Callithrix jacchus: one gene and its partners. The protein of the gene in region 1 binds, or shares a complex with, the protein of each later gene. Links are inferred from orthologs where the notes say so. Each region holds a gene or a part of one and is shown in the gene's direction. Other genes may lie near its edges. The genes, in order: RNF113A, SNW1, CDC40, DHX16, ARMC7, SNRNP200 and SF3B5.

The links.
Region 2: RNF113A (region 1) and SNW1 share a complex: the UniProt entries of both Homo sapiens proteins name them as parts of the minor spliceosome. The link is inferred for Callithrix jacchus from reciprocal best matches to the Homo sapiens genes RNF113A and SNW1.
Region 3: RNF113A (region 1) and CDC40 share a complex: the UniProt entries of both Homo sapiens proteins name them as parts of the pre-catalytic and catalytic spliceosome complex. The link is inferred for Callithrix jacchus from reciprocal best matches to the Homo sapiens genes RNF113A and CDC40.
Region 4: RNF113A (region 1) and DHX16 share a complex: the UniProt entries of both Homo sapiens proteins name them as parts of the minor spliceosome. The link is inferred for Callithrix jacchus from reciprocal best matches to the Homo sapiens genes RNF113A and DHX16.
Region 5: RNF113A (region 1) and ARMC7 share a complex: the UniProt entries of both Homo sapiens proteins name them as parts of the minor spliceosome. The link is inferred for Callithrix jacchus from reciprocal best matches to the Homo sapiens genes RNF113A and ARMC7.
Region 6: RNF113A (region 1) and SNRNP200 share a complex: the UniProt entries of both Homo sapiens proteins name them as parts of the minor spliceosome. The link is inferred for Callithrix jacchus from reciprocal best matches to the Homo sapiens genes RNF113A and SNRNP200.
Region 7: RNF113A (region 1) and SF3B5 share a complex: the UniProt entries of both Homo sapiens proteins name them as parts of the minor spliceosome. The link is inferred for Callithrix jacchus from reciprocal best matches to the Homo sapiens genes RNF113A and SF3B5.

What each region holds. Positions count from the first base shown.
Region 1 is NC_133524.1:115,851,741-115,854,708, reverse strand, and holds RNF113A (E3 ubiquitin-protein ligase RNF113A), read left to right. Parts: upstream 1-1,285; 5' UTR 1,286-1,386; coding exon 1,387-2,418; 3' UTR 2,419-2,468; downstream 2,469-2,968. Other genes in the region: NDUFA1 (NADH dehydrogenase [ubiquinone] 1 alpha subcomplex subunit 1), read right to left, coding at 987-1,088. UniProt on the Homo sapiens protein: Required for pre-mRNA splicing as component of the spliceosome. As a component of the minor spliceosome, involved in the splicing of U12-type introns in pre-mRNAs. E3 ubiquitin-protein ligase that catalyzes the transfer of ubiquitin onto target proteins.
Region 2 is NC_133509.1:112,693,042-112,696,541, reverse strand, and holds part of SNW1 (SNW domain-containing protein 1), read left to right. Parts: coding exon 1-78; intron 79-1,763; coding exon 1,764-1,868; intron 1,869-2,501; coding exon 2,502-2,571; intron 2,572-3,500. UniProt on the Homo sapiens protein: Involved in pre-mRNA splicing as component of the spliceosome. As a component of the minor spliceosome, involved in the splicing of U12-type introns in pre-mRNAs.
Region 3 is NC_133505.1:116,374,140-116,377,639, forward strand, and holds part of CDC40 (pre-mRNA-processing factor 17), read left to right. Parts: intron 1-1,039; coding exon 1,040-1,136; intron 1,137-2,418; coding exon 2,419-2,558; intron 2,559-3,357; coding exon 3,358-3,432; intron 3,433-3,500. UniProt on the Homo sapiens protein: Required for pre-mRNA splicing as component of the activated spliceosome. Plays an important role in embryonic brain development; this function does not require proline isomerization.
Region 4 is NC_133505.1:35,454,728-35,458,227, reverse strand, and holds part of DHX16 (pre-mRNA-splicing factor ATP-dependent RNA helicase DHX16), read left to right. Parts: intron 1-1,591; coding exon 1,592-1,802; intron 1,803-1,999; coding exon 2,000-2,098; intron 2,099-2,209; coding exon 2,210-2,362; intron 2,363-3,500. UniProt on the Homo sapiens protein: Required for pre-mRNA splicing as a component of the spliceosome. Contributes to pre-mRNA splicing after spliceosome formation and prior to the first transesterification reaction.
Region 5 is NC_133506.1:131,032,995-131,037,288, forward strand, and holds the start of ARMC7 (armadillo repeat-containing protein 7), read left to right. Parts: upstream 1-1,494; 5' UTR 1,495-1,904; coding exon 1,905-1,995; intron 1,996-2,079; coding exon 2,080-2,223; intron 2,224-4,294. UniProt on the Homo sapiens protein: As a component of the minor spliceosome, involved in the splicing of U12-type introns in pre-mRNAs.
Region 6 is NC_133515.1:6,128,603-6,132,102, reverse strand, and holds part of SNRNP200 (U5 small nuclear ribonucleoprotein 200 kDa helicase), read left to right. Parts: intron 1-70; coding exon 71-244; intron 245-1,513; coding exon 1,514-1,674; intron 1,675-2,222; coding exon 2,223-2,450; intron 2,451-2,795; coding exon 2,796-2,987; intron 2,988-3,086; coding exon 3,087-3,265; intron 3,266-3,447; coding exon 3,448-3,500. UniProt on the Homo sapiens protein: Catalyzes the ATP-dependent unwinding of U4/U6 RNA duplices, an essential step in the assembly of a catalytically active spliceosome. Plays a role in pre-mRNA splicing as a core component of precatalytic, catalytic and postcatalytic spliceosomal complexes.
Region 7 is NC_133505.1:150,851,934-150,854,377, reverse strand, and holds SF3B5 (splicing factor 3B subunit 5), read left to right. Parts: upstream 1-1,208; 5' UTR 1,209-1,328; coding exon 1,329-1,589; 3' UTR 1,590-1,944; downstream 1,945-2,444. Other genes in the region: uncharacterized protein LOC118153004, read right to left, coding at 1,110-1,208. UniProt on the Homo sapiens protein: Component of the 17S U2 SnRNP complex of the spliceosome, a large ribonucleoprotein complex that removes introns from transcribed pre-mRNAs.

The sequences.
Region 1 (2,968 bases):
ATGAATCCCAATGTAAAAAACTAGATCTTGGCCGGGCACGGTAGCTCCTGCCTGTAATCCCAGCACTTTGGGAGGCCAAGGCAGGCAGATCCCCTGATGTCAGGAGTTCAAGACCAGCCTGACCAACATGGAGAAACCCCATCTCTACAAAAAGATAAAATAATAAAAATAAAATAAGATCTTGCAGTAAATTATTAAAGGCTTGCAACAAAAAGTGGAGAATAAAAAAGTTATGGGTGGCCAGGAGCTCACATCTGTAATCCCAGCACTTTGGGAGGTCATGATGGGTGGATCACCTGAGGTCAGGAGTTCGAGACCAGCCTCGCCAACATGATGAAACCCCGTCTCTACTAAAAATACAAACAAAAATAAAAATTAGCCGGGCGTGGTGGCACCCGCCTGTAGTCCCAGCTACTCGGGAGGCTGAGGCAGGAGAACCTCTGGTTTTTTTTTTTCGAAACGAGTTTCGTGACTGTTGCCCAGGCTGGAGTGCAATGGTGCGATCTCGGCTCACCTCCACCTCCACCTCCCGGGTTCAAGCAATTCTCCTGCCTCAGCCTCCCAAATAACTAGGATTACAGGCATGCGCCACCACACCCGGCTGATTTTGTATTTTTAGTAGAGACGGGGTTTCACCATGTTGGTCAGGCTGGTCTTGATCTCCCGACTTCAGGTAATCCGCCCGCCTCGGCCTCGCAAAGTGCTGGATTACAGACTTAAGCCACCTCTTCTAATCTACCTTTCCGGGCCCCGAGTCGCTACTCTGCCCTAAGGCCCACTCTGATCCACCCTAAAACGCTGGTTTTCACTAGAGCAGGATGTGTTTTCTACCAACCTTCGTTTCGCAAGCCTCAGCTTCTAGGCAACCCTAAGAAAGGAGAAGGCCGACCTCGGAGAGAGGGTCCGCAAGCTGATGCCTCCCTGCCCCCCACCCTTTTCGGAAATCAGCCCGTGGAGTCGGCCCCCGCGCCCTCAAGCCCCCTTACCTTGCCGCCGTTAGTGAACTTGTGGATGTACGCAGTAGACAGTCCTGGAATAAGCAAGCACACGCCCATGGCGGCGAGTCCGGGGAGTATCTCGAACCACATCTCTGCCCGGTTACCTAGACCAAAACCCTACTTCTGAGTCCTTGAAAGGTGACGGATCTCCGGCTCTCTTCCCAGTAAGCCCCGCGGCCGCCAGCGAGCGGGGCGGTGCCACGTACGGCTCCGGAGGAAGCGACGGAATCCTCCAGGGCTCAAGAGAGGCTAGCGTTCGCGTTCTCGCAGTCTTCTTCCGCCACAGTCTTTTGCTTTGACTAGCGGCGGAGCGCGCAACGTGGAGTGACGCGCGGAGGCCAAGTGCTACCCAGGCAGCCACGGCCGTTTCGGAGCTCGGGACTCTAAAATGGCCGAGCAGCTTTCTCCAGGAAAAACGGCGGATCAGGTGTGCACCTTCCTTTTCAAAAAGCCTGGGCGGAAAGGGGCTGCTGGACGCAGAAAGCGCCCGGCCTGCGACCCAGAGCCTGGAGAAAGCAGCAGCAGTAGCGACGAAGGCTGCACTGTGATTCGACCGGAAAAGAAGCGGACGACCCACAATCCAATGATACAGAAGACCCGTGACAGTGGTAGACAGAAGGCGGCTTACGGCAACTTGAGCAGCGAGGAGGAGGTGGAAAATGAGCCCGAGAGTCTCGGCGTGGTTTATAAATCCACCCGCTCGGCGAAACCCGTGGGACCAGAGGATATGGGGGCAACAGCCGTCTATGAGCTGGACACAGAGAAAGAGCGCGATGCACAAGCCATCTTTGAGCGCAGCCAGAAGATCCAGGAGGAGCTGAGGGGCAAGGAGGATGACAAGATCTATCGGGGAATCAACAATTATCAGAAATACATGAAGCCCAAGGATACGTCTATGGGCAATGCCTCTTCCGGGATGGTGAGGAAGGGCCCCATCCGAGCGCCCGAGCATCTACGTGCCACCGTGCGCTGGGATTACCAGCCCGACATCTGTAAGGACTACAAAGAGACTGGCTTCTGCGGCTTCGGAGACAGCTGCAAATTCCTCCATGACCGTTCAGATTACAAGCATGGGTGGCAGATCGAACGTGAGCTTGATGAGGGTCGCTATGGTGTCTATGAGGATGAAAACTATGAAGTGGGAAGCGATGATGAGGAAATACCATTCAAATGTTTCATCTGTCGCCAGAGCTTCCAAAACCCAGTTGTCACCAAGTGCAGGCATTATTTCTGCGAGAGATGTGCACTGCAGCATTTCCGTACCACCCCGCGCTGCTTTGTCTGTGACCAGCAGACCTACGGCGTCTTCAATCCAGCGAAAGAATTGATTGCTAAACTAGAGAAGCATCGTGCTACAGGAGAGGGTGGTGCTTCCAACTTCCCAGAAGACCCCGATGAGGATCCAATTCCCATTACTTAGGCTTCCCATAATTCTTAAATTTAAAAAATAAATATTTTGTTCTTTTGGAAGTCTTAATTCGTGTCCTTTTAGAGAAAGTGACAGAAGGCGGGTGGTGAAGTAGGGTCCTGGATTAAAAGCTTCAAGGTAGGTATAATCGGGATTTTTAGCCCTAGAACACTTTGGCATAAATTATAGAGATGGGAGTAGTTTGAGAAAAGAGCTAGAATTTGCTCGAAGTAGCCAAAGCTATGATGAAAGCAAGAACTCTGAGCCTGTTTATTATATCACATTTCTGTATCACGTAATGTTTACCAGGTACTTTCATGCATTCTTTCTCTTAGGAGCCTGTACTACAAAATATATCAGAGCCAAGGTGTGAGGGAGAGGGGTTGGGTTTGGGCGATTGGTAGCTAGTACCACAGACTTCACGTATGGAAAATGTTCCTTGCTGTCTTGGAAGCAGCAATAGTTAACCCCCCTTCTATGGATGATAAAAGTGATCTGTGCTCTGCTATCCAGTGTGATAGACAGACACTAGCCTCATGTGGCTGTTGACCACTTGAAATGT
Region 2 (3,500 bases), on another chromosome or scaffold:
AAAATCTGTATCACAGAAGGTTGCTGCAGCCATGCCAGTTCGGGCAGCTGACAAACTGGCTCCTGCTCAGTATATCCGGTATGAGTCTTGCCAAGAAGACTTAGTTTCATTTTGGACTTGATTCAGCTTGGGGAGTCACTAACCCACTTAGCAACTATTATAATGCATTGTTTTGAATAATGACTTGAAGCCTGTCTACTCTCTTTACAGACAATTGAAAGCAGAATTTTTGTTGTCCACTTTGGTTTTTGTTTGTTTATTTGAGATAAGTACTCTGTTGCCCAGGCTGGAGTGCAGTGACACCCTCACGGCTTACTGCAGCCTGACCTCCTGGGCTCAAGTGCTCCTCCCGCCTTGATGCCACCGTACCTGGCTAATATTTTAATGTTTTGTAGAGACAAGGTCTCACCTTGATGCTCAGGCTGTTCTCGAACTCCTGGACCCAAGCGATCCTCCTGCCTTGTTATCCCAAAGTGCTAAGATTACAGATGTGAGCCACCACACTTGGCCTCTTTTTATGCCTTTTTTTTTTTTGGAGACAGAGTCTTGCTCTGTTACCCTGTTGCCCAGGCTGGAGTACAATAGTGTGATCTTCTTGGCTCACTGCAATCTCTGCCTCCCAAGAGCTTCTTCTGCCTCAGCCTCCCGAGTAGCTAGGATTACAGGTGCCCGCCATCATGCCCAGCTAATTTTTGTATTTTTAGTAGAGATAGTTTCACTGTGTTGGCCAGGCTGATCTCAAACTCCTGACCTCAAATGGTCCACCCTCTTCAGCCTCCCAAAATTCTGGGATTACAGGCGTGAGCCACCATGCCCGCCTATGCTATATTTCTGTTTTTCTTTTTCTTTCTTTTTTTTTGAGACAGAGTCTCTCTCTGTCACCCAAGCTGGAGTGCAGTGGCATGGTCTTGGTTCACTGCAACCTCTGCCTCCTGGGTTCAAGTGATTCTCCTGCCTCAGTCTTCCAAGTGGCTGTGATTGCAGGCATGTACCACCATGCTCAGCTAATTTTTGTATTTTTAGTGGAGACGGTTTTTACCATTTTAGCCAGGCTGGTCTCAAATTCCCGACCTCAGATGATCCGCCCACTTCAGCCTCCCAAAGTACTGGGATTACAGGCATGAGCCAACTGGCCCAGCCCTATGCTATTTTCAAAATATATTTTTTGTTCTTAGAAATTAACAGTCACTTGTAGTATATGACCTAAATCACAATTATTATTTATAGTTTTCCATTTATGGGTAATAGATATCTTTATAATACTTCTAAATTTTGAGGCATTTCACTTGACTGAATATTTGCATAGATAGATGAATCACATACAGATATTAAGGGAAAATTCAGAGCTCGTAGGGCTGCTGTTATTATTATTCTTTTCTCTGTTTTTTAACCTATGATTAATCAAAAACTGCTAACTGTAAGTTGCCTGCTGGGATTATTATGAGTGTTTTTACCCCAGATGCAGGCATACCAAATAGATACTGTTTCCTAAACTGCTTATCTGTGAAACTGAATACTGCATCTTCGATGTTGGAAAATGTATGAGGAGGGGTTATCTGCACACTAATACCACTCAAATTTGTATTTTGTCTGTAACTCATAATTTCTGTTATTTTATCTCTCTTGCTGTCTGCTTTGTCTAAATATTTTGTTAATTTTCTATTAATACTTTGCGAAAGGAATTGAAAATGTTGTAACAGAAGGAAAATGCCTTCCGAAAGCTTGAACTAGTTACACCTTTAGTTTTTATCTGCTTTCTTCAGATACACACCATCTCAGCAAGGAGTGGCTTTCAACTCTGGAGCTAAACAGAGGGTTATTCGGATGGTAGAAATGCAAAAAGATCCAATGGAGCCTCCAAGATTCAAGTAAGTAAAAAGGAGGAGGCTACTAATACACATAAAAACATGGATGAATCTCAAAACAATTATGCTGAGTGAAGGAAGCCAGGCAAAAACAAGTACCTCCAATATGATTTCATTTATGTAAAACTCTAGGAAATGCAAACTAACCTGTAGTGATGAAAGATCAGTGATTGCCTCTGGGGAAGGAGGTAGGGACAAAGAGGAGATGGGAGGGAGGAGAGGAATAGGCAAGGGGCAAGCAGAAACTTCTGGGGATGACAGGTATGTTCACTGTCTTGATTGTGATGATGATTTCACAGGTGCTTATTTGTGTCAAAATCTAATCAAATTGTATACTTTAAATGTGTACAGTTAATTAAATGTCAATTATCTCAATAAAGGTGCTTTTTAAAATGAAAAAAGTTATATTACTCTGCAAAATGACAATAATGTTGGGAGGTAGGGTAACAATGATGACAAAGTTGGCGTATTTTATTCATTGTCATAGTGGAGTGGTAAGTGCGTATCATTATACAGTCTCTGTTTTTGTCTATGTTTGAAACTTTTATGCAAGAAAAAAGGAGGGGAGACTTGATGTGATGACTAAAAGGGAGGAAACTGTATCACTCTCTGGTTGTGTTTTGATTTATACTTCAGGATTAATAAGAAAATTCCCCGGGGACCACCTTCTCCTCCTGCACCTGTCATGCATTCTCCTAGCCGAAAGGTATTCTTTATTATAGTCTAAAATCTTTTTTTCTACTCATGATTATTAATTTTATAGATAATTTCCCTATACCTATACAGGTACATGTCACCACATGACTTGTAGTTTCTTTTTTTATTTTATAAGATGAAGTATCAAGAATGCTTATGAGAATTTATATAACATGTTAGCTATAAGTTTTGTTATTAGTAACCCAAATCCTACTTTTAATGGAATGGATAGGGTCTGCTGTTTCACTTACAAAGATGTTACAGGAAGTGAATATATCGATTCCATTAGTTCTCTAATAATTCGACTTTCAAGATATGTTTTGTTGCTCCAAAGAACAGTTTTTTATCCAAAAGAAGTCACATTGGCTGGGCACAGTGGCTCACGCCTGTAATCCCAGCACTTTGGGAGGCAGAGGCAGGTGGATTATCTGAGGTTGGGAATTCGAGACCAGCCTGACCAACATGGAGAAACCCTGTCTCTACTGAAAAACACACACACACACACACACACACAAATTAGCCAGGTGTGGTGGCATATGCCTGTAATCTCAGCTACTGGGGAGGCTGAGGCAGGAGAATCATTGGAACCCGGGAGACAGAGGTTGCAATGAGCCAGGATCACACCGACGTACTCCAGCCCGGGCAACAAAAATGTAATTGCATCTCAAAAAAAAAAAAAAAAGTCATGGAAAAATACTAGCCACCATTTATAACTGTCAAAAATAATTTCTAGATTATTTTCCATTTTTCACAGTACTTCAAAGTTATTAATAGAATTAATGATACAATAAACTAGTATTAGCAAACAAATGGATTGTTGGCCTTTCACTGTGTATGTGCATATGTCAGTGTATATGGAGCTGTCTTTGACGATAAAGATTATACTTAGATTACTTTGTAGACTATAAATCTAACCCTGTCTCTTCTTTCTCTCTTAAC
Region 3 (3,500 bases), on another chromosome or scaffold:
GTAAATGCTCTGCCCTTCCCTTCCTCACCTCCTCACTGTCTCTATGAGCCAGAGAGTGTTCTAGTCCCAGGCCTACAGCATTGAACAAGATCAAGAAAATCCTTTCCTTATGAAGCTTATATTCTAGCTGTTACTTATATAGTAAATCTATATTTATAACGATAGGAGTAAACAGGTGACATCTAAGATGAGTAAATGTATGCTACTGTTTTTTATTTATTTTAGATTTTATCTGTTGATTTCTTTGTTTTTATGGATACAGATTTACTGCTACCCCATCTTCTGTCCCCAGCTCCTTAAAAAAGTTGTGTCACAGAGGTGTAGTCATCACTTACATCCTAGGACTGGGTAAAAATCATTAACTGAAAAACAACATCTTGTGCTAAAATTCAGTGTCCATTCTGGAACTAGATTTTCTGATTGCCTTGTCTTTTTACTTGCATAACTAGTATAACATGTTAAAATTTATTTCCAGGTGTCACAGAAGGATGAGTTTTGAAAACTGATTTTATATAGTCGAAAAGTATTTTCTAGTATCCGTTATGTATTTAGTACCATTTTGTAATTTGTAGAAAAGGTACTCAATCTCTGCGTATAGAAGAGTCGAGCTTGGCCTGGCGTGGTGGCTCAATGCTCGTAATCCTAGCACTTTGGGAGGCCGAGGTGGGCAGATTGCCAGAGCTCAAGAGTTCAAGACCAGCCTGGGCAACACAGTGAAACCCTGTCTCTGCTAAAATAGAAAAAATTAGCCGGGCACGGTGGTGCATGCTTTGTAGTCCCAGCTACTCGGGAGGCTGAGGTAGGAGAATCACTTGAACCCAGAAGAGGGAGGTTGCAGTGAGCCAAGACTCACACCAGTGCACTCCAGCCTGGGTGACAAAGCAAGACTCCATCTCAGAAAAAAAGGAGTTGAGCTTGTTATTCTGGGAACATACTTGGACCAAATTTGTAGACCTCATTATAAAGAATTTATAACCATCTTTAGGCATAATGAGGTTCTAAAACATTCATTTTAAATTTTACTCCTTAATTTTCTTAGGAAGAACAAAAAGAATTGGATGAAATCACAGCAAAGAGGCAGAAAAAAGGAAAACAGGAAGAAGAGAAACCTGGGGAGGAGAAGACAATCTTACATGGTATTACATTTTTTATACATCTTCATTTTTATGAAAAAGCTCCTTACTATCAGCTGTTAAAAAAATCATTATGTTGAGCGTAATTGTGTTGGACAATTTGTATCCCAGGGAAATTATAGCAGACTTCTGTATACTGATAAAGGAGAAAAAAATAGCATGATTAATGATAGCCACAGATAATTTTTTTTCAAGTGTCAATGAATGTTATTAAATGATAGATAAAAAAGAAACTTGGAATAGTCTACGGTCTATTCTTTCATAAGATAAAGTTGACTCTTTTGGTATATTAATAGTGCCCCAGTCGTTTTAATTGTTTTTAACAAAGTCAAATACTCAGGTATCCTCACAGTTCATAACCGTTTACTAAACTATACTCAGAAAGAATAAACTTGGATTTTCATGTGAAAAGATGGAGATTAAGCCTCTCATACTTATTTTGACTTGTAGAAGGAAATGCGTAAGTATTCTAGAACATACCTGTTCATTAATAATTAGTTATATTTAGGAAATTACATAATGATTATCTAAAACTGTAAAGAATAACTTAGTACTTATAGTGTTGCTTATTCTAATGTTACTATTACATCAGATATTTAGGTTTGATGAAGCCATATTTGGTTTTTCAAGCTTCCATTTTATGTCTAAGGAGTCTATTCAGTATTATGGTACTTACAACTATAATAACAACAATATAAAAATAACATTTATTGAGTACTTACTCTGTGCCAGCCATGCTGCTAATTACTTTATATATACTATGTCATGTAATTCCCATAGGTGACTTTATTGTAAAATTTGTGATGAAAGCAGGAAAAGATAGATGAAAAGGAACTGGAAGGGCATAAAGAGGAAAGCAGGGGAAAAGGATAGTTGATTTTTTTTGTTGTTTGTTTTAAATTTCTTCTTAACCTGTTTTACTTCTGCTTCTTTACCAATGACTGACAAGGCCCCAGTATTGTCTTTTCTTCCTTTGCTATAATTATGCTACAGTGAAGATAAGTCACTAAGATGTGTAACTGATGAAAAGAAGTATAGATCTTATCTCAAGGTCTATAATCTCTGGGTATTTAGGAATTTCAAAATACTACCTCTAGTTGTAAATGATAGCAGTTATTTAAAGCACTTAAATCTTAGCTGACTCTTGATCTTGACATCATTGGAGTGTTATTACTTAACCTTAATACAAAATGCTATTCCTGTGAATAAAATATTATTTTAAGATAGAGATTTCATGACTGTAGCTTGTATTTGTTTATCGATTTTCTTTGCCTTTTTGTTTCAGTTAAAGAAATGTATGACTATCAGGGCAGATCCTATCTTCACATACCTCAGGACGTTGGTGTTAATCTGCGGTCAACTATGCCGCCTGAGAAGTGTTATCTTCCCAAAAAACAAATTCATGTGTGGTCTGGACACACAAAAGTAAGCAAGTTGGTGTGTGTGTTTGCTGTAATGTTATAATAATGAAGCCAAGGTAAAGTTTCAGCTATTGATGTGGAACATTTAGTATTTCTGGTAAATGTGTAGGGAAATTAATTTGAATGTAAGCTGCATTCTAGGCTTTGGAGGTGCCCACACATCCATTACAAGTGACTAATCAGTCTTCAAGGCCATAGCATGCATGGTTCAGTGCCCTGTATCCTTGCAGCCCAGGCCTTTCCCCACAAGCTCCTGCTACAGTCTTCCTTTTGGGCACCAAATCAGTGAGTAATGGGCTAGTATTAGCACCAAGTCTCCTGCTTAGCTTCAGTAATTTTGCTTTAGCTCTTGTGGTTATCACACTTCAGAGATTAGATGTGCCCTGGTTTATAAACTATGGTAATTTTTAAACTAATGCAGAGACAAGGTACATGAAAAGTTTTGATGTTGGTATTCTTCATCATCTGCACTATTCCAACTGGTAATTTCCAACTCTTTGCAAAGAGCAAAGGGACTAAGTTAAAAAAGGAAAACAAGTCAGGGCATTAGCAATTTGATTGACTCAGGATTCCTTTGGGTGAGGAACTCAATATTAAAGGTTAAAAAAAAAAAAAATCTTCAAAAGCTTAGCGTCAATAAGGCCTGCTCTTGGAATGCTAATGAAGGTTATTCTAAGTTGTGATTTTTGGAATGAAGACAAATAGCAAATTAAGCTGCTTAATATCTACTGTCTTCTCTTGATGCTTAATTTTAGCTGCTCTTTAGAATGCTTCTGGTTGATAACTTTAATACCTTTTTACAGGGCGTCAGTGCAGTCAGATTGTTTCCTCTCTCTGGCCATTTATTGCTGTCTTGTTCCATGGACTGTAAAATTAAGGTGAGTTTTCAGTAACAGAGTGGGAGTGCTGCAAAGCTAGTTCTTTGGTTAAATCTGTTTGGTTAATT
Region 4 (3,500 bases), on another chromosome or scaffold:
GCTTTCCCGGATCTCTAATCTCTGGCCTTTCTCTCCTTTCCCACCTAGCCAATCAGCCATTGTCTTCTGATTAATCCACCAGTTCTTGAACCTTTATGGTTCAAATGGTCCTTGAACTGACCTCCAGATACCATGGAGATGGGGCTGTAGGATAGAAGAGATTGTAGAGAAACCTCTTTTTCCGTCCCTACTCATCTCCAAGGTTTAGAAAACAATCAGAATAGAGGAGCATTGCTGCAGAGACTAAAATGCTGTGCGAAGAACATTTGAAAACACTTGGGTTGCTCAACTCAGAGGGAGAAACAGGGGAAGCATCCTGGTTCTTCTAAATATGTGAAAGCTGTTACATGGAAGAAAGGATCAGACTTGTTTTATGTGACCCTACAGGACATAGCTAGGAACCATGGGGAGGTTACAGGGAGACAGATTCCAGCTCCATACCAAAATGGCTGAGTCACCCTCAGATTGCAGGGCTTGTCAGAGTGGTTGGACCCTGGGGCTTGGTCCTCCACACAAGTCTTGGGTAGCTTGGTCTGTGAATAATGAGCTCTTAGTGCTGGAAATGGCCAACCAGGGGTTGGTTTAGCATGTGTTGAGGGGGAAAAGGGATTCATGAATGAGATTGGGGGTGGGATCAGGCCAGCTGAACAATATGTGCCTTTTCAACTCTTCAGAGGCTGTGAATTTCTGGCCCTGGAAGATCACAGTGGAGCAATTGGACAGATAGAACTTGATACTTCATATCCCTTGCAAAAAATCTCTGAGAACCCATGGAGAGCCAGCCAGTGCAAGAGTGTCTGATGCAGATGTTTTTGCCCATCGAGCCAGTGTGCTTTGTGGAATGGCTGGGGACTTTACCATCACAGTTAGGGTTAGGCACAGAGTTGAGGTTGGGAAGGTGGGTAGGGGAAGATGGGAATGAGTCCCTGGGATTTGGCTGCCACCCAGAAAAGCCAAAGAATAAAGCAAAGAGAAAGAAGGTGTCATGTACCTAACTGAGTTGGGGGAAACCAAGGGATGTGCAGAGTCCTCTGAGAGTTGGGGTTGAAAGGCTTAACTTGTTCCTCTTTCCTAAAGAAGAAACAGAGCCAGGAAGGATGCCAGAGGCAGTTGTTCCACAGGAAACCAGGAGCTTCTGGGCTGTCTGAATCACAGCAGCTCTGGTCTATTATCCCCAGCCAGCCTTGGTGGCCTCCTCTTACTGAAGGGGACCCTGCCCTCCACTTTTTTTTTTTTTTTCCTTTAAAACATATCCTTCCACTTTTTCTAGTAAGAGCTGCTGAGTCTAAGCAGACCCTTGACTGAACTAGAGGGCATGTCTGACTTGTCCTGGGTCAGTGTGCAGCCTCTACATCTTGGCTCCTATTGTCTGCTGAGGCTGGAATAGATTGCAGATCACGGGGCTGTGCCTTCTCTGACTTTCTGTTGGTCTTACGTAACTGGGATGGTGGCGTCTCCTTAGAGCCCCCTCCCTCAACAGTCATTCTTGAGCTCTTTGTGTCCATTACTCCCCTCTCATCCAGGGAACCCTGGTGTCTGATAACGCATAACCCAGCGCTCCTCCCTCATTGCTCCCCTATTACCTCTTCAGCGTGGTGATGGTGGATGAGGCACACGAACGGACCCTACACACAGACATTCTCTTTGGATTGATCAAGGATGTTGCTCGCTTCCGACCTGAGCTCAAGGTCCTGGTGGCTTCAGCCACGTTGGACACTGCCCGTTTCTCCACCTTCTTTGATGACGCCCCTGTGTTTCGAATCCCTGGACGCAGGTTTCCTGTGGACATCTTCTATACCAAGGTGCCCCCTCAGGAAGGATGGGCTTAAGTGTGTAGCGGAAAAGCTGGGGACTTTGGAGGAGGTTATCCCAAGGAGGGAAAGATGGAATGGAAAGTCCAAAGGGGAACTAGGATGAAGTGTATGTTGAGTTGGGAGGAGAGGAACGATTTGCCTAAGCAGGTGGCCCTCCTGTGACCCCATCTCTTTCTGCTCTCCAGGCTCCAGAGGCTGACTACTTGGAAGCTTGTGTCGTATCTGTGTTGCAGATCCATGTGACCCAGCCCCCTGGGGATATCCTGGTGTTCCTGACAGGACAGGTGCCTGATATGGTTGGGAGAGGGGGTAATGTATCCCAGGGGAGGACTAGGCTGGCATGTTGGTCTTCTGTGACCCTGGGACCCTTGCTGCTCTCCCCACTCTCTATCCAGGAAGAGATTGAGGCTGCCTGTGAGATGCTCCAGGATCGCTGCCGCCGCCTGGGCTCCAAAATCCGGGAGCTCCTGGTGCTGCCCATTTATGCCAACCTGCCCTCCGACATGCAGGCCCGTATCTTCCAGCCCACACCACCTGGGGCACGAAAGGTCAGTTGGAGAAACCCACACTCTTCACACCTATGCTTCACACAACAGTAGTGAAAAAGGTGTGTGCCTGCCCCATGCAAGGGGAGTCCTGGGCACTGCTGCAGACATAGCTGAGGAGCCATTCTCTCACCCCTGGGGCTGAAGAGAGAGGAGAAATACCGTATGAACCAAGAGAGAGCCAAATACGTGATCTGCAAAGTAAGCACAGTAGATTCAGTGGAGATAGGAAGTCCTTGATGGGCCAGGAGGTGGGATTTGATATGGACCTTTAAGAGAAATGGCTGAGGTTGGGTGCAGTAGCTCACGTCTGTAATCCCAGCACTTTGGGAGGCCAAGGCAGGTGGATCACTTGAGGTCAGTAGTTCTAAACCAGCCTTGCCAACATGGTGAAACCCTGTCTCAACTAAAAATACAAAAATTAGCCAGGCATGGTAGAGGGTGCCTGTAATCCCAGCTACTTGGGAGGCTGAGGCAGGAGAATCGCTTGAGCCTGGGAGGCGGAGGTTGCAGTGAGCTGAGATTGTGCCTCTGCGTTCCAGCCTGGGCGATAGAGTGAGACTCTGTCTCAAAAAAGAAAAATGGCTGAGAAGTTATCAGTGGAAGGCCCAAGGTGCGTCTGAGGTGAGAACGTCAGCTAGTAGGCTTAGTGGGAGGTTCATGCGGTACAGGAGTAGGAGATAAGGCTAAAAACAATTTGGGGCTAAGATTAGGGAGGGCCTTTGATGACAGGAGAGCTTGGACTTATTTATTTATTGTTTATAGACAGAGTCTTGCTCTGTCACCCAGTCTGGAGTGCAGTGGCAAGATCTTGGCTCACTGCAGCCTCTGCCTCCCAGGCTCAAGTGATTCTTGTGCCTCAGCCTCCCAAGTAGCTGGGATTACAGGTGCGTACCACCACATCCAGCTAATACTTTTTTTTTTTTTTTTGAGATGGAGTCTGGCTCTATCGCCCAGGCTGGAGTGCAATGACATGACCTCTGCTCACTGCAACCTCTGTCTCCCAGGTTCAAGCAATTCTCCTGCCTCAGTATCCCAAGTAGCTGGGATTACAGGTACATGCCACCATGCCCTGCTCATTTTTTGTATTTTTTGGAGAGATGGGGTTTTGCCAGGTTGGCCTGGCTGGTCTTAAACTCCT
Region 5 (4,294 bases), on another chromosome or scaffold:
AGAAGGATTCATAACAAGGGTGACCAGTTCAAAGTTGGACAGGCAGTTGCTGGGCAGATGGCCGTGCAGAAGTGGTTTTGTGCAAGTTTGTGATGGCCTTTGTGCAACGTGGTGGTTTTTGCAGTCTTTGTGATAGTTTTATCAGATATTTATGCATGAGAACTCTCTCGTCCTGGATTTCTTGAACTCTGTCGGGATTTTGTTGGTTTTTTTCTTTTGTTTTGTTTTTTTGAGACGGGAGTTTGGCTCTTGTTACCCAGGCTGGAATGCAATGGCGCGATCTTGGCTCACCGCAACCTCCGCCTCCTGGGTTCAGGCAATTCTCCTGCCTCAGCCTCCTGAGTAGCTGGGATTACAGGCACGAGCCACCATGCCCAGCTAATTTTTTGTATTTTTAGTAGAGACGGGGTTTCACCATGTTGACCAGGATGGTCTCGATTTCTTGACTTCGTGATCCACCCGCCTCGGCCTCCCAAAGTGCAGGAATTACAGGCGTGAGCCACTGCTCCCGGCCTTGTTTGTTTTTTAACGCAAGTGACTCCACTTTTGTACTCTCAGGACATGCACAGCCTAAGCCACCTATACCACATTGTCAAACACGATCGGAGAGTGGCAAGGCCACCTCCTTCCCTGGTGCTTTGTTCCCTGTGACCACGAGTTAATGCAGCACACACCTGCTTCCTGAGAATCCCCGACAGGGAACCGGCCGAAGGGCTTCAGCATCCAGAAAGCCCTGAAAGGGCCACATCCAAGGCTCCTCCTCCGGCTCCCCGGTGCTTCCCCGGGCGCGCGCCGTCCACCCGACTGACGAAAAGCCCCAGGACATAAGCCAGTCCCCTTGATTTCTGTCCAGAGGTGGCGGACCCACCTCGGGCTGGGATGGAGGGCGTATCGGGGTCGCCAGGCTTTTTGCAAAAGGGGCAAAGGACCGATGGGGGGCACAGAGAGCTGACGCCCGCGCTCCGAAGGGCCGTCCGGGTCAAGGAGGCTGGGCCACGCCCCCGCCAGCCGTGGGGGTCCTGGAGGTGCTTCTCCCTCGACGTCCTGCCACATGGGTTCTGGCAGACTCCGCTGCTCCTCGCGGAAATCCAGCCGCCTGACGTGGGCGTCTTACCTTCTGGGCCACGTCGGGGCGGCTGAGGGCCCCGGGGAATGGGCGGGAGAGTGGGAAAGGTGGGGCGGGAAAGCCGAGCGAGGCCCTAACCCGCCCTCCTATCGGCCGGGGCAGCAAGTGGGTTTCTTTCTTGCGTTCAGATTTTGCAGTAATTTGCAGCTGGAAACGAGATAAGGGAAACCAGGCTGCTCCTCGCAGTAAACCCACCCACGCCCGCACCTGTCTCAGGGAATCCGCTAGCAGCGGGCTGCAGCCCAGGCTGAAGGGCTTCCGCATCCAGAAAAAACGTAACCGCGCGGAGTACGTGCGCCAAGGAGTTCGTCGACGGCCCCGCCCCTGTCCCGCCCTTTCCTCCTCGTGCCCGCTCCTTCCGCTATATTAAGGGCGGAGACAGCGCGGCTTCCGCTGGGAGCTCGGAACAGATCCCGGGATCCGGGATCCGGGATCCGGGATCCGGGACCCGGGATCCGGGATCCGGCACCCGGCACCCGGCACACGGCGCTGGTGCCCCCTCTGCAAGCCCCAACTCGTAGACTGTTCCTCGTCGCCCGCGCCCCAATTTCGATTTTCAAACCCAACTCCCACAGGATTCTGAGACCACGCCCCATCTCCCACGTCCCATTTTCAGCGGCAAATTACTGTAGAATCTGAACTCTAGAAAGAAACCCGTTTGCCGCCCCCCATCTTCCCTCTCCACACAGGTGGAGGGCAGGTGAAGGTCTCGCTCGGCTTTCCCCTGCACCTTTCCCACCCTCCCGTCCGTCCCTGGGGGTCCTCTGCCACACCGGCCATGGCCCAGAAGCCGAAGGTGGACCCTCACGTCGGGCGGCTGGGATTCCTGCAGGCGCTGGTCACGGAATTCCAGGAGACCCAGAGCCAAGGTGAGAGCCACGGTGGGGCCAGGGGGGCAGGGTCTGCTGTGACCGCCGCTCGGACCTGGCTCCAGTGCCGCTTTCCCGTTGCAGACGCCAAGGAGCAAGTCCTCGCCAACCTCGCCAACTTCGCTTATGACCCCAACAACTACGAGTATCTGCGGCAGCTGCAGGTCCTGGATTTATTTCTCGATTCGCTGTCGGAGGAGAATGAGACCCTCGTGGAGTTTGCTATTGGTAAGGGCGGGGTCGGTTCCCTAAAGGTCTAATGGGCCGGGGTGAGATAGGTGAGTTAGAAGTGAGTCGTTGGGGCCGGGCGTGGTGGCTCACGCCTGTAATCCCAGCACTTTGGGAGGCTGAGGCAAACGGATCACTTGAGCTGAGGAGTTTGAGACCAGCCTGGGCAACATGGCAAAATCCCGTCTCTACTAAAAATACAGAACTTAGCCGCTCACAGTTGTGTGCACCTATAGGCCCATGGAGACTGAAGCAGGAGGATTGCGTGAGTCTGGGAGGCAGAGGCCAAAGTGAGCTGAGATTGCTCCACTGCACTCTAACCTGGACAACAGAGCGAGACCATGTCTCAAAAAAAAGATGTTTTGTTTTGTTTTGAGACAGTTTCACTTTTTTTCCTCAGGCTGGAGTGCAATGGCAAGATCTCGGCTCACTGCAACCTCCGCCTCCCAGGTTCAAGTGATTCTCCTATCTCAGCCTCCTGAGTAGCTGGGATTACAGGTGCCCACTACCATGCCTGGCTAATTTTTGTATTTTTAGAAGAGATGAGGCTTTGAACTCCTGAGCTCAGGTGATCCACCTGCCTTGGTTTCCCAAAGTGCTGGGATTACAGGCATGAGCCACCATGCCCAGCCCAAAAAAAGATGTCTTAAAAAGAGCAATTTCAGCCACTGCACAGTGGCTCACACCTATCCTAGCACTTTGGGAGGCTGAGGCTGGAGGATCACCTGAGCTCAGGAGTTCAGTAGCCTGGCCAACATGGTGAAACCCTGTCTCTACTAAAAATACAAAAATTAGCTGGGCGTAGTGGCGTATCCTGTAATCCCAGCTACTTGGGAGGCTGAAAAAGGAGAATGCCTTGAACCCTGGAGGTGGAGGTTGCAGTGAGCTGAGATCATGCCATTGCACTCCAGCCTGCCCAATGGGAGCAAGACTCCATTTCAAAAAAATAAAATAAAAAATAAAAGCAATTTTTTGACCAGGCACAGTGGCTCACACCTGTAATCCCAGCACTTTGGGAAGCTGAGGTGGACAGATCACCTGAGGTCAGGAGTTTGAGACCAGCCTGGCCAACATGATGAAACCCTATAGGTAACTAAAAATACAAAAGTTAGCTGGGCATGGTGGCGGGCACCTGTAATCCCAGCTACTTGAGAGGCTGAGGCAGGAGAATCGCTTGAACCCAGTAGGTGGAGGTTGCAGTGAGCCCAGATGGCACCACTGCTCTCCAGCCTGGGCAACTACGAGACTCCATCTGGAAAAAAAAAACGGAAACAAAACCAAAAAAATCCCCAACAATTTCAGGCAGGAGAGGTGGCTCAAACCTGTAATCTCAGCACTCTGGGAGGCTGAAGCAGGCAGATAACTTGAGTCCCTGAGTTCAAGGCCAGCCTGGGCAACATGGCAAAATCCCGTCTCTGCTATTAAAAAAAATTACAAAAATTAGCCTGTCGGCCGGTTGTGGTGGCTCACACTTGTAATCACAGCACTTTGGGAGGCTGAGGCGGGCAGATCACGAGGTCGGAAGTTTGAGACCAGCCTGGCCAACACTGTGAAACCCCCATCTCTACTAAAAACACAAAAATTAGCTGGACATGGCGGGGGGCACCTGTAATCTCAGCTACTCTGGAGGCTGAGACAGGAGAATCACTTGAACCCCAGAGGTAGAGGTTGCAGTGAGCCAAGATCACACCATTGCACTCCAGCTCCAGCCTGGGCAACAAAAGTGAAACTCTGTCTCAAAGAAAAAAAATTAACCTGGCATGGTGTCACAGCTACTCAGGAGGCAGAGGTGGGAGGACTGCTTGAGCCTGGGAGCTTGAGGCTGCAGTGAGCTAGGATTGGGTCACTGCACTCTAGCCTGGGTGACAGAACAAGATCCTGTCTCAAAAATAAAAGTAACTCATATTTAGTGTTTTCATATCAAGAGAAGTAGAGATGGCAATCTGTAACTTATAGCTTCTGTAGTTGTGATCTTAAGACCTACTGAGTGATTCACTGGGCAATATTTATTGGGCACGTACTGTATAAGCAAGCTACTGTTCTAAATGCTGGGGTATGGTGAACAAGTTAG
Region 6 (3,500 bases), on another chromosome or scaffold:
TGGAGGGGATCTAGAGGCCACTTAGGTAAAGAGAACAGTGCTTACATCCTTCCTGTTTCTTTTCTGGCAGCTTGTGAGACGCAGCTGCCTGTCTCTTTCCGGCACTTGATCCTGCCAGAGAAGTACCCACCTCCAACTGAACTTTTGGACCTGCAGCCCTTGCCTGTATCTGCTCTGAGAAACAGTGCCTTTGAGAGTCTTTACCAAGATAAATTTCCTTTCTTCAATCCCATCCAGACCCAGGGTGAGTATTTCCATCCCTCCTCTGGAGGCTTTTGAAGTCATTGGGAGACAGATGTGTTCTGTGGCACGCAGGGGAGTGGGGATCCTCAGGCACTTGGTAGGGCTGCAGGCAACTCAGTGTGACCACTGGGGCCCACCAGGACTTTTTCCTTTGTCAGAAGCCCTTGGTTGCCTTGCTGCTCTGCATTTGTCACTATGGAGGGGCAGTAGAGTAAGGCCTTACATGGCATGGTCATTTCTTGGGCACAGGAGGCTTAGAGGCCTGCCCCTGATGCTCAAGTATTGAACCGGAACCATGGGGTGGCACTGAGGCCTCCTCCCTCGCATCATGATAAATAACGGGAACATTCATAGAGCAGGCGCTGTGTTCTCAGTTTTTAGCTGAGTTCATCACCAGTGTTTTCTCTTTTATTCCCCCCACCAAGCCTAAAGGGAGTCATTATTTGAGAGACCGCCATTAGTGTTCCATTTTGTGTGTGTGTGTGTGAGACGGAGTCTTCCTCTTTCCCAGGCTAGAGTATAGTGGCATGGTCTTGGCTCACTGCAACCTCCGCCTCCTGGGTTCAAGAAATTCTCCTGCCTCAGCCTCCCAAGTAGCTGGGATTGTAGGTGCCTACTGCCACGCCCAGCTAATTTATGTACTTTTAGTAGAGACGGGGTTTCACCATGTTGGCCAGGCTGGTCTCGAATTCCTGACCTCAGGTGATCCACCCGCCTCAGCCTCCTAAAGTGCTGGGATTACAGGCGCGAGCCACCGCACCTGGCTAGTGTTCCATTTTATAGATAAGGAACTGAGGCATAGAGGGTGCCCCAGTTGAGTCAACTGATAAATAGTAGAACTTGGATTTTTATCCAGTCTTGATGACAGGGCTAAGGCTCTTACTTTCTACATTAGGCTACTTCCAGGAAATGCAGGAGAGTATTGAAGGGGCAGAGAAAGGGATCCAGTTCCTTTCTGTCCCGCATCCTAGTCCCTGAGAAGCAAAGAAGGATATGTGGCTTCTTTTGCTTTGCTTTAGTTGTCATCCCATGTGTCTCCAGGGGTCCTGGGCTCTTGATCTTGGCCTCTTCCCCTTTACCTAAGTGGGAGCAGGTGAGGGGGATACAGCAGGCCAGCCTGGAGTTAGAGGCTCAGATGCAATTCCTCCTCTACACTCCACAGCTCACTGACTTCATTTCTTATGTTGTCCTTTGCTTTGACAAGTGGTCCATGTTCCAATCTGTCTCTTCTCTCTTGACACTCACACTGCTTCTTTCTGTTGGTTTCCAGTGTTTAACACTGTGTACAACAGTGATGACAACGTGTTTGTGGGGGCCCCCACGGGCAGCGGGAAGACCATTTGTGCAGAGTTTGCTATCCTGCGGATGCTGTTGCAGAGCTCGGAGGGGCGCTGTGTGTACATCACCCCCATGGAGGCCCTGGCAGAGCAGGTGCGATGTGGTGCTGTGTCATGTGAATTTACCCAGCAGCATTTTATCTGTGATTCTATGTAAAGGCTTTCTAAGCCCTGAAATTTGCAGGGTCATTTCCCAGTTTGTGTATTCAAGCCACCGTGGAGGCTCATCCCTGTAAGGGAGGTGGATTGCCTGAGGTCAGGAGTTTGAGACCAGCCTGGCCAAAATGGTAAAACCTCATCCCTACTAAAAATACAAAAATTAGCCAGGCATGGTGGTGGGTGCCTGTAATCTCATCTACTCAGGAGGCTGAGGCAGGAGAATCACTTGAACCCAGGAGGTGGAAGTTACAGTGAGCCAAGATCATACCACTGCACTCCAGCCTGGATAACAAGAGCGAGACTTCGTCTCAAGAAAAAAATAAAAAGCTGCTCCATCACATAAAGGCTTCTGTGGGATTAGAATGTAGCTTGAGATTTGCAGGTCAACAGGTCTCCCTGTTTGGCATCTCAGGTTTTCCTCACATAAGTGAAAGAGGCCTGGCATGACCTGATGTTGTTCTGTCTCACTCCTCTGCCTGCCAGGTGTACATGGACTGGTATGAGAAGTTCCAGGACAGGCTCAATAAGAAGGTGGTGCTCCTGACGGGAGAGACCAGCACAGACCTGAAGCTGCTGGGCAAAGGCAACATCATCATCAGCACCCCTGAGAAGTGGGACATACTTTCCCGGCGATGGAAGCAGCGGAAGAACGTGCAGAACATCAACCTCTTCGTGGTGGATGAGGTCCACCTTATCGGGGGCGAGAATGGGGTATGGTGTGACCTTGCAGTACAGATGACGGGCTAGGACTAAGTGATCTTGGCATTGGGCCTTAATGTTTGGGTCTGAGGACGGAGGTTCAGGACTTCTCCCCAGAGGATTCTGCCTGCCACCCTGTTCCAAAAGTACAATGTGAACTTTTTTGGTAGTACTTTAGGAAAACAGTATTGTTTAATGGAGGTTGGCTGCTGTGGAGGAGCTAGAACCAATGATAGGAGGGCTCTAATTAGAAGGAAGAATGAGGTCATTTTGAGGCTGTTAGGCTGTTCACAGAGGGGACCTCCAGGCAGAGAATGGGAGCCTCGGCCTACAGTGACCTTCCCTCCCTCTTTCCAGCCTGTCTTAGAAGTGATCTGCTCCCGAATGCGCTACATCTCCTCCCAGATTGAGCGGCCTATTCGCATTGTGGCACTCAGCTCTTCGCTCTCCAATGCCAAGGATGTGGCCCACTGGCTGGGCTGCAGTGCCACCTCCACCTTCAACTTCCACCCCAATGTGCGTCCCGTCCCCTTGGAGCTGCACATCCAGGTAGGACCTGCTCTCCTCTTCCCTCTGTGGGGGCTCACAAAGATCCTCAGTGACCCAGGTCTGATAACCTTGGTGTCTTTTCTTCTCCCTGGTCTCCAGGGCTTCAATATCAGCCATACACAAACCCGCCTGCTCTCCATGGCCAAGCCTGTGTACCATGCTATCACCAAGCACTCGCCCAAGAAACCTGTCATTGTCTTTGTACCGTCTCGCAAGCAGACCCGCCTCACTGCCATTGACATCCTTACCACGTGTGCGGCAGACATCCAACGACAGAGGTGGGCAGGGCCTAGCTTCTGGGGTTTGGGGTTAGGTTAAGTGAGGCTGGCTCACTCCAAGAGTGTCCTTTTTATGAGGGTGGGGTTAGCCCATGTGGCTTCGGGCCAGGGTATGCACAGCTGGCAAGGTGTCTGCCAGGAATTGGGCCACTGTGAGCTGAGCCAGTGCTCGTGCCACACAGGTTCTTGCACTGCACTGAGAAGGATCTGATTCCATACCTGGAGAAGCTGAGTG
Region 7 (2,444 bases), on another chromosome or scaffold:
TATTAAACTAAAAATTAGGATATAAAGCAATAATAAGGAAGAGATGGATAATCTGCAAAGAGGAAGAAGAATTTACATCTGTCTGGAGCAGCCAGAGAAAATTCTAGGGAGATGCATTTGAGCTGCCTTTAAGGCAGATGCGTTCACCAAGGGAACAGACATTCCAAGTAGAGGGAACAGCTTGCACAAGGAACTGGGGAATGGGCACAACAGGTAACATGGAGAAGTACAGTTGTCCCTCAGTATCTGTGAGTGATTGGTTCCAGGACTCCATGGATACCAAAACTAGAAGATACTCAAGTCCCTGATATAAAATGGCTTGTATTTGCATATACACACATCCTCCCGTATAGTTTTTCTCTAGATTATTTAACAATACCCAATACAATGTAAATACTATGTAAATGGTTGTTATATTGTTTAGGGTATAATAACCTTTAAAAGTCTACACTTCGGTACACACTAATTTTTTTCCCAAATATTTTCAGTCGGGTTGGTTGAATTCACAAAACCCACTGAATGGAAGGGCCAAGTAGGGTGCCGTGAGGCATTGGAGGGAGGATATCAAAATAACTGGCTAGAGAGGAAGGAGGAACTTGAGGTGGAGCCGGAATGTGAGGAAATGGGTACTGTACTTGCTCACCAAACACCCTGGTTAGAGCTGAAATAACTCTTTGATGCTACAAACTCCTAAGCGACATAGTTGGGACCAGAACTCGCGCCTACTGACTTCTGGGTAATCCATCCCGGGTAGTGAAGGGACTGCCGTGCCGCCACGATAGGTCCGAAATACATAAGAGTTTATTTTCGGGGTTGCTCGTAGTCCACTCCTATTTGGGTTTCCCATTTCCCATCAGCCCCAAGCCAACCACGGATGCTTCCCGCCTCGCAGACAACACCCTCCACTAGGCACCCATACCGCTTTTAAAAGGCGACCAGAAGTTCCGGAGGCTGGCGTGCACGAACTCCAAAGACCAAGACCACAAGTCCCAGCATGCAACGCTCCCGGTTGAAAAGGGCCTCTCATAGCCACTAAGCGGACCATCATGCAACGCTCTATGAAGGGGCACGGCTCACTACAGGGGCGGCACACTTGTAGCGTCGCATACCTCGGCAACTCCAATTCCGTGACTGATGTGCTTCCGCTTCCGCTTCCGCCTCTGAGCCCTATGAGCGAGAGTTACACTACTTAGTCTCAGTGACGCCATTCTTCTGCGACCGCGTGGGCCCGGAGGTGCTGTGCGGTGTCCTCACTCCCGCTTGAAACGGTAGAGCGGTGACTTGTTTCCTGCGGCCTCTGACCTCGGAGCGAAGGGGAAAGCGGCGAGATGACGGACCGCTACACCATCCACAGCCAGCTGGAGCACTTGCAGTCCAAGTACATCGGCACGGGCCACGCCGACACCACCAAGTGGGAGTGGCTGGTGAACCAACACCGCGACTCGTACTGCTCCTACATGGGCCACTTCGACCTTCTCAACTACTTCGCCATTGCGGAGAATGAGAGCAAAGCGCGAGTCCGCTTCAACTTGATGGAGAAGATGCTGCAGCCTTGTGGACCGCCAGCCGACAAGCCCGAGGAGAACTGAGACTGCCTTACCAACGCCGTGCGCGGCGCCTCTCCCAGCGTTCCTCCCGTTTGCCAAATCCCTCGAGTATTCCTGCCTTCAAGGGACCGGCTCTCTCCATGGCTCCTGCGTCCCGCGCTTTCTGCGTATAGAAGTGCTTGCCGGGGAAGTCCCTCCTGACCCGCCTTCATGTGGACACTTTGGGACAGCATTGAGAGACCAGCAGGACCCCTGAGAACTGTGCTGGCGGAGAGGTCCTGCAGCCGGCAAGTCTCTGAGAAGAGGGCGTGGCGCTGGAGTGAGATGGGATTTGGCGTCTCGTTTTTGCCTAATTGATTGTCATTGGCTTTTTCCATAAAGTTTAGAAATCGTTCAGTCTCTTGGTGTGAACTTCCTGTGTTAGGGTGGAGGGCTCCGGAAAGAGCTCCAGGCACCGAGGTTCGCGAGAGTCCGAGTGGGAAATGGGTTTGGGTGAGGGTGCGAATGCCAGTGTCTGTGGCCAGGCACTTAGATATGCCTGTATACCTTTATAGTGTTCCCCGACTGCCACTTCCTCCAAGAGCTTTATTTTCAGTCTCACAATGACTTCAGTTTTGAAGTTTGCGGTTAATGTATCCCATCTTTTTCTTCTGTTTTAAAAATCTTTGCTGTCATTGTTTTCCCTAGCCTCTTTAAATTACATCCTTTCTTTTTCCTGGGAATTTGAAACCATGTCTCCAGAAATGACAAGATGGCAAGCGAGTTCATCCATTCTACATTCAACAAATATTTGTTGAGCTCTATGTGACAGGCATTTTCCCATGTTCTTGGGTATACATTAATGCTGGTGGTGGAGAAAGGTCAAACACTGTAGGCATAGCAAGCAAATGTTAGAAG